2 linked regions of the Notamacropus eugenii genome follow. The protein of the gene in region 1 interacts with the protein of each later gene in a biochemical or structural test. Links are inferred from orthologs where the notes say so. Each region holds a gene or a part of one and is shown in the gene's direction. Other genes may lie near its edges. The genes, in order: FLNC and XIRP1.

Evidence for each region.
Region 2: the proteins of FLNC (region 1) and XIRP1 form a complex in vitro, tested with the Homo sapiens proteins (2 studies listed by BioGRID and IntAct, with this or other methods). The link is inferred for Notamacropus eugenii from reciprocal best matches to the Homo sapiens genes FLNC and XIRP1.

What each region holds. Positions count from the first base shown.
Region 1 is NC_092874.1:121,303,019-121,306,927, reverse strand, and holds the start of FLNC (filamin-C), read left to right. Parts: upstream 1-1,529; 5' UTR 1,530-1,900; coding exon 1,901-2,240; intron 2,241-3,909.
Region 2 is NC_092874.1:473,849,369-473,853,277, reverse strand, and holds the start of XIRP1 (xin actin-binding repeat-containing protein 1), read left to right. Parts: upstream 1-1,191; 5' UTR 1,192-1,412; intron 1,413-3,909. UniProt on the Homo sapiens protein: Protects actin filaments from depolymerization. Required for correct cardiac intercalated disk ultrastructure via maintenance of cell-cell adhesion stability, and as a result maintains cardiac organ morphology, conductance and heart beat rhythm.

The sequences.
Region 1 (3,909 bases):
TCTACCATTTTGGAAGATGGCAACACTGACTGAGTCAGGGAGTTATCTGGTTTGAGGTCTTCCCATTTGCCTATCATGGAGAGGTTGGGGTGCAGCTAATTCCCTCCAGATCCCCTATTCTAACTATTCTAGAACTGTTAAGAAAGGAGGGGTAGCAAGGATGAATCCAAACCTAGATTGAGTCATGCCTGTTTCTCTCTGGGGCTCAAGGAAGACCATTACCTATTCTATTCCTCAGTTTCCCTAAATTTGTCAACCATTTGGGCCAACATCCATTCCTGGAAGAGCCATGGATTTCCCTAGTATTAGTCTCCCCCCATCCATCCTCCCCCCATCTCCCCTGAGAAGGGTCAGTCTGATTGCTTTCCTCTCTCCAGGGCTTCCCTCTACTTCCATCCTATCTCTACCAGCCTTCGCACAACCTCAGCTCACATTCCCCCTTGGCCTATGCCAACAGGGATCTCCCTGACTGGCTGGCCAGACAGTCCTCCTTTCTGGCCAAGGATGGGCACAATGAATGGGGGTGGGGGGGTTCCCTGCCACTGAGGGGAAGGTCTGTCCTGACTCTTGTCCCTGGAGATACCATCTGAGTCAAGGTCTGGGGTCTGGGGGGATGGGGAGCGGAGAGAGGTGACTCATGGCCCAGCATCAGAACTTTTTCCTCACCCATTTCTGAGGCTGATCCTAAGTGGGTTGATGACACTAAATGGGAAGGGGGGTGGTGGTGGAGTGCAGGGTAAGTACCCTAGCCCCAATCACCAAGGGGAAAACTCATTCTAGCCCAAAAGGAAGCCTCTGTACTTCAATCCCAGAATAATAGAGGAAGGCAGTTCTTAGGAAAACCTTCTCTTCACGGCCAGATAATGCCATTGCCTCTATTTCCATGTTATTATCCTGTTTCTTCCTCCCCTACCCAAATATTATACTCCTACCCCACAGGACTCTGACATAGATGATTCATAGTTGGACTTATACTTGTCCAGAGACCTCCAGCAATATTAGACTTCTGTTCCCAATTCCAACCCCCTCCATTAGACCTTAGTTTCCCCAATCTGTCTCTTAAGTCTTAGTCATGTCTGTTTCTCCTTCCCCCTCCCCCCCATCTAAGACTTCATCCCCACCTGTGACTCAGCTTAGATATGGGGGGGGGAGAAAGGGAGGGGAGCAGAAGGGGGGAGGAGAAGGCCCTATGGTACTCTCCATCTTCCTTATTCTCCCCCATCTCTGACCTTGGCGCAGGGGATTTGGGGAGCAGCGTCCTACTGACAAACCTTTGTTCCTCCGACTGGGAATGGGGGAATCAGATTGGTATGAGAGTAGGAGGAGGGACCTGGGGAAGACCCTCTCTGGTTCCCTGTCCCTCCAGATCCTCCAGGCTACTGAGGGGGTAGGCGGGGCCTTCTCCGGCCCCCCTCCCCGCCCCTGCCCTCACCCCCCGCCGGCCGGCATTCCTGGGAGGCCGGCGCTCTGACGTGAGCCTGGGGAGGGGGGCCCCCCCGCGACCCAGGGTCTTCTTAAACCCCCCGCCCTCGGTCCGGCCCTGCATTTCCAGAGCACCGCTCCGCCCCCCCAGACGGAGAGAGAGACCAGGCTCAGCAGACGAGGAAGAGGAGGAGAAGGAAGGGAGAGTCGGAGCCCAAGCCCGAGGCTGAGCACGGAGACGGACCCCCGAGCTCCAGACAGAGGCAGAAGTTAGCGAAGTGCGGGAAAGAGTCCGCAGCTCCCAGGACAGCTCCCCGGAGCCAGCCGCGGACTCTGCGCCTAGCCCAGCCCCGGGCTCCGGACCCCGTCCTCCCGACTCAGGCTCGCTGGTCTCAGCCCCTGCCCCGCCGAGCCGCCTTCGGCCCCGTCCTCCGGACTCAGGCTCGCTGGCCTTCGCCCGACCCCCGAGGCGATCGCGATGAACAACAGTAACTACCCCGAAGGCCTGGGCGAGGACGCGGAGGAGATGCCGTCCGCGGAGAAGGACCTGGCCGAGGACGCGCCGTGGAAGAAGATCCAGCAGAACACCTTCACCCGCTGGTGCAACGAGCACCTCAAGTGCGTGGGCAAGCGCCTGGGGGACCTGCAGCGGGACCTGAGCGACGGCCTGCGCCTCATCGCCCTGCTCGAGGTGCTCAGCCAGAAGCGCATGTACCGCAAGTTCCACCCGCGGCCCAACTTTCGCCAGATGAAACTCGAAAACGTGTCCGTGGCTCTCGAGTTTTTGGAGCGCGAGCACATCAAGCTCGTGTCTATCGGTCAGTGCCCGGGGAGGGGCTGGTCGGGACGGGACGGGACGGGAAGGGATGGGGAAAGAAGGGTCCTGGGCAGCCTGTGCCCAGGGGCAGAGCTTTTCCCCCAGCCAGACTTCGGGGCGGTGTCCACGCGCGGAAAGGGAGAGAGGGGGGACCTTGGGGCTTTCCATTGGCGGGTGGAAAGAGCTTGGGGGAGGAGCCTTCCGTGGTGGGCTTGAACCCGCTGGCCATTGGGAGAGGCCGTGGGGTTTGGGGTAGGGCGAAGTAGTCGGGGAGCCCTAGTAGGGAGCGGGGAGGAAGGAGGGTTCAGCTACTAGAGCAGAGAAAATCACTGGCTCTCCCCTACCCACACCAACCCAAAGGCGCAGCACTTTTTCCTTCAGACACACAGACACAGACACACAGACACAGACACACAGACACACACACAGACACAGACACACACAGACACACAGACACACAGACACACACACACACACACACACACACACACACACACACACACACACACACACACACACACACACACACCCTCTTAACTAGACGAGGAAGGGATACATCAACATGTGCCTCACCCCTTCCTCTGCCTTTCCCCCTCCCATTCCCGACACACCCCAACTTGGCTCCTGCACCTGCATCACCTTTTCTCTCTGTCTTCCCATGCCAGACCCTTGCTAACAGGTCCAACAGTTATGGGATCTTTTCAGTTTCCCCTTCTGGAAATTGTCACCTCAAAAGCACCTGTCCCTCTCTTCAGTTTTTTTGGGGGTCACTAAAACAGTAACTTTAAGTGTAGGGTTGAGAGGAGACCAGGAGGCAGGATATTAGCCATTCCCCACGCTGGCAGTGACGGGGATGGTGAGGTAGCTCCCAAGAGTTCCTTTTAAGTGAGGTGAGGTGTTGGGGGCTGGGGTAGCCTGGTGGTACTGAAGGAAGCAATGACATCTTCTCCCTCCTCTTGTCTCCCCATGCTAGGCATGTGCCTGGCAGCTGGGCCCAGCCCCTGGGGGCCTTTCCAGGGAGGGGGGAAGGGGGTAGGACCCAGCCTTTGAAACCTAAAAAGGCACTGAGGGAGCATAGGAAACATTAACCCCTGCTTGTCCTTACCCTTCCTCTACCTACCTAAGAAGGGTCTTCGTAGCAAATCCATTCTTCTTTCCTACCTCCCAAGCAAAGGGCAGGGAACAAGGGGGGAGTCCTCATATACAGAGAAGGGGGAGTATAAATGTTGAGTGTAACCAAAGCCTGAAGTTGTGTGTGAGGAGGGTTGAGGCAAAAGGAGCACAGCTGGAAGGGGGGGGGGGGGGGGAAGAGAACCAGTAACATCTGCCCGGAACTTGGAGGAACTCAGAAAGTAGAATTCCCTTCTCCTGGTTTCTATCAGGACAGGGCTGTGTGGGGGAAGGGAAAGGGGAGGGAGAGAGGAAGGAAAGGGCAGTGGCAGAACTAGGGAGCTGTGGATGTGATTTGAACAAGAGTACAGTTATGGAGGACTCTCATACCACAGGATCAGCTATTTAGAAAGGACACATGTTTCTATCAGCTAAAAATAAGGAGTCCCACCATAAGGGTGCCATCCAGAGTTCATGAAGCCTGAAGTGTTTATTATGTATATGGAGGCTAATAGTGTAGGATGGGGTCTCCACACCAGAGATAGGGGCAGCTGGGGGCC
Region 2 (3,909 bases), about 350 Mb from region 1:
GTCACAGAATCCCAGCAGCTCACAGTTAGCAGGGACTCGAGAAGCAGCATGGGATGGTGGCTAGGAAACTGGACTAGAATCAAGAGGACCTGTGTTCCAATCCTGCCTCTGAGATCTTGAGGAGGCCTATTTCTCTCTCTGGGCCTCGGTTTCCTCATTTTACAAATGAGGAGGTTGAACTCTTCCTCTGAGAACCCCTCAGTGCTTCTGAGGTTCCTCACAGTCAGGATTTTAGGATCCCTCTAGAATACAGCCAAGGAGTGAGTCTCCAGCTTCTGCTCGAATACAGAAAAAGAGAACTCTCCATGGAAAGGAGAACTCATTACCTACCAAAATAGCCCAATTCACTTTGAGGAGGCTTTAAATCTTAGGGATGTTTTGGTAACCTTGACTCTAAATGGGCTCTTTGATCTTGTTTTGCCCCCTGGGGCCAAGCAGAACCAAGCTAATCCCTCCTCCACACAACCACGGTTCACATCCATGAAGACAGCTTATATCCCCTTGAGTCTTCTATAGGGTCCAGCCCAAGCCCCGCCCCCCCCATACCCAATGCCCTCCTGTAAACATTCTCCACTTAGTCACTGTCCTTCCCAGTGCCCACAGTTGCCCTTAGTCCTCCAGAGGTGGGTGGACTATCACCTTCTTATTCCTGGAAGAAACATCCCTCTTCAGGCAGCTCAGGAGGGCATTGCCCAAAGTAAGGAGTGGGCCCTGGGCTGCCCTGGGTGCCCTGGAAGGTTCCACATATTTCCTCTATCTCCCACAGCCTACCATCCTCATTTTCTCAGGGAGACCACACACATAGTGAACATTAAATACGTTTTTCAAATTGTTGTTGGATAGCAGAAATTTGGGCTGGGCCCTGACAGGCAGCTAGGATTTGTCCCAGGGAGGGGTGGAGATGGGTCATGCTGGGCAAAGGAGGTCCCTTCTTATTCATCCCCCTCAAATAGTCTGGGACACTCCTGGTATGTGACTGAGTCCCTTTTTCTAGACCTGAGTCACCAATGGATCAAGTGCTCCCCACAGGCGGGGACAGAGAGCAGGCTTTCTATGAATGAGGCACCTCCCCCCATCCCCTCCCCCCACCCCCAGTGCTTGGGCCCCCAGTCCAGCTCAGGGACCCGTGATTGATTCAGACGGATGGAATAGCAACTTCTACAATCCCTAAAAATAACACGCCAGCTTCATGCTCCCAACATAGCCTGGCTCTACCAGATAAAAGCAGCTGTCAGGCCACATACTGCACAGACCCAGGAGCTGGACAGACGCAGACGGGGACACAGGAGCCAAGACAAGTGAAAGCTGAAAGCGGAGGGACAGATCCACCAGAGTCAGCTTCCTCGGAGACTCCTCCTGAGCCCAGCATCTCTCCAGAAACCCCTGCCCTAGTGGCTTCCAGGGCCCCCCACGTAAGTAGCCATTCTCTCATCTCCTTGGGCAAACCTGGCCAGGGTCTCCTCATCTCCCGGGGGTGGCAGCCATGGCCCTCAGGTTGAGCACCAGTCAGGGCAGGGATGGGGAAAAGGAACAGGGAGGTCAGGAGCTCGCTCTGATCTCCCCTTGCAAGCTTCACTCTCCCCAAGACTCTGAGACTAACATCTAAAGAGCTGGCCACGGGAGGCCAGGATCTGACAGCGGGGGGTGGGAACACGCTAGCCTTGTTCCTCTGGGAGATTTCCATGGTTCCGGGGTGAGAGGCCCAGGGACTAGCCTGACTGCCCTGAGGGACTTGGGATCAAGAGACTCAGCACATAGACAGATTCCAGGCCCTCTGGCTCCCATCAAGTAAGGACTTGGAGAAAGTAACTTGCCTGCATTAGCTGTCTTGTAAATGAAGAAAGAAGAAGCCTGGAAGACTCCCTTACAGCTAAATGCCCCAAATCCCACCTTGGCAGAGTGGGCCCCATTTGGTTCAGAAGTCGCAGATATTAAGGAGGTGTCCTGCAGCCCATGGGGCCTGAGGAACTGTGTGCAAATCCAAAGTCCAGAAACTGGGTTTAGGGTGGCATCCTGAGAAACAGTCTTGGAAGTAGCTGATCCTCAGAGCCCATAAAGACCTGTTGGCTTTAGCCCTGGGTGTGAACACTCAGAGAAGGCAGAAGTGCCAACTAGCTTAAGAGGAAGCAAGAGGACCAAGCCTGGGAGCTGGGGAAGGGAGATGTCAGACACCAAACTGGAGGGAGATAAATCTGGTGTAATCCACTAAAGGAAAACCTCAGAAGATGAATTAAAACAGCCCATCCCATGGAATGCTGAAGGAATGCTGGGCATTGGGTTACCTAGGTCCCTTGCAGTGTCCTGGGCGCTTCATCCACAGCCTCTTCTTCCATAAATGCCCAGTGAGGAAAGGGAGGCCTTTGAACTCTGGCTGGGGCCCCATTCCCTGGTCTCTAGACTGTGGCATGACTGTCCTCTGATCTGGGAAGTGACAAGGTTAGCCTGGGAGGGCCTGTCTCTCTCCCTCCCTGGCCCTGCTGAGCTCAGCTGGGAGCTTGGGAAGAGCAGGCTTTGGGGCGCCCCAGGACCTGCTGAGCCAGCATGGAGGTTGCCCTCCCTGTCTAGGGAGCCCCAGAGGGGCCTGGCTGTCTGCCCCCTAAGGGCAAGACCCCTCCTAGGTTCAGGCCCCTCCCCTGACACACATAGCTCCTCAGCTGTCTGGGGTGAAAAGTCTTTACATTTCTGGCCCCAAGAATAGATCCCTTGGCATCTCCTTTTCCACCCCAAAGGAGGCTTCATACAGGAAAGGGACCTTCCTGAACCTTCCTTCCAGGTGCCCTCAGTCATCTTTGGAGTCAGAGAACCAGGATTCAAACCCTGGTGTACTACTTACTACCCGGGTGACTTTGGGCTAATCATTCCCACTCTTGGTGCCTCATTTTACTCATCCATAAAATAAGGGGGTCAGTGGCCCCCAAGGTCCCTTTTCTGCTCTAGGCTTGGGGCTCCTGGGATCACTCAGATGGCAGATTTCCCCCTCCCCCTGACCCCTATTCCTTGGCTCTCAGCCACCACAGCTTAGATTAAGCTTCCCTGGGCTGTTGTCAGTGCCCAGTGAGTGGGAAAGTCAACAGGGCGGGGGTAAGTCTGGTGCCAGACTGGGCTAGTAGAGGCTCTGGGCAACAGAGCAGTGACTCACCAGATTTGACCAAGGCAGATGGAGATGTGGATAGATATGCTGGGATGTGGAGGGGGCAGAGGCTGTTTAGCCACTAAAGTAGGGAGGGGCTGGTAAGGAGCCAGTGTAGGATCCAGGGCTTGAGTAGGTGTGGGTGAGTGACCCCTTGGGAGACTGGACACAGGACCTGTGGCCCTGAATTACTTATCTAGGTTGCTAATAAGGCCCAGAAAGGTCAAGCACTTAACCACCTGCCCAGTTCCTCGATTTCCCTAGAATGACAGTTGGGAAGTAATTGGGTGACCCAGTAACCTATCAAGGATGTCTACTTGGGGGCTTGACAAGGGGGCCTCACCATCCCCCATCTGACAACCCACCTCTCTGAAAGTCTGCCTATTGTTTGGGGACTGGAGGCCTCTGAAAAGGGAGGCGGAGGAAGGCCTCAACTCCAGGACTGGTCACTGCCCTAACTCTCCAGGGCAGTTTTCTCCAAGACGGTTCCTGTAGGGCTCATAATCATGGAGGCACCGATGCCAGTCTGATGCAACCAGGCAGCAAGTGACAAACCTCTTGTATTACTGTGGGGTCTTGGGAGTGTTTTCTGGACAAGAAAAGAGAAGACTGGAAACTAAGGTCAGAGTGTATTAAATAGGGGGCAGAAGCTGGGGCTGTGCCCTAGGGTGTCAAAATTCCAAGACCAGTGAAAATAGGAAGAAGCCCCATTCTGCTCCCTCCCCCTTCACAGAAAACTAGGGGCTCTGTTTCTCCACCACCACCATCGGGCCTTGTCC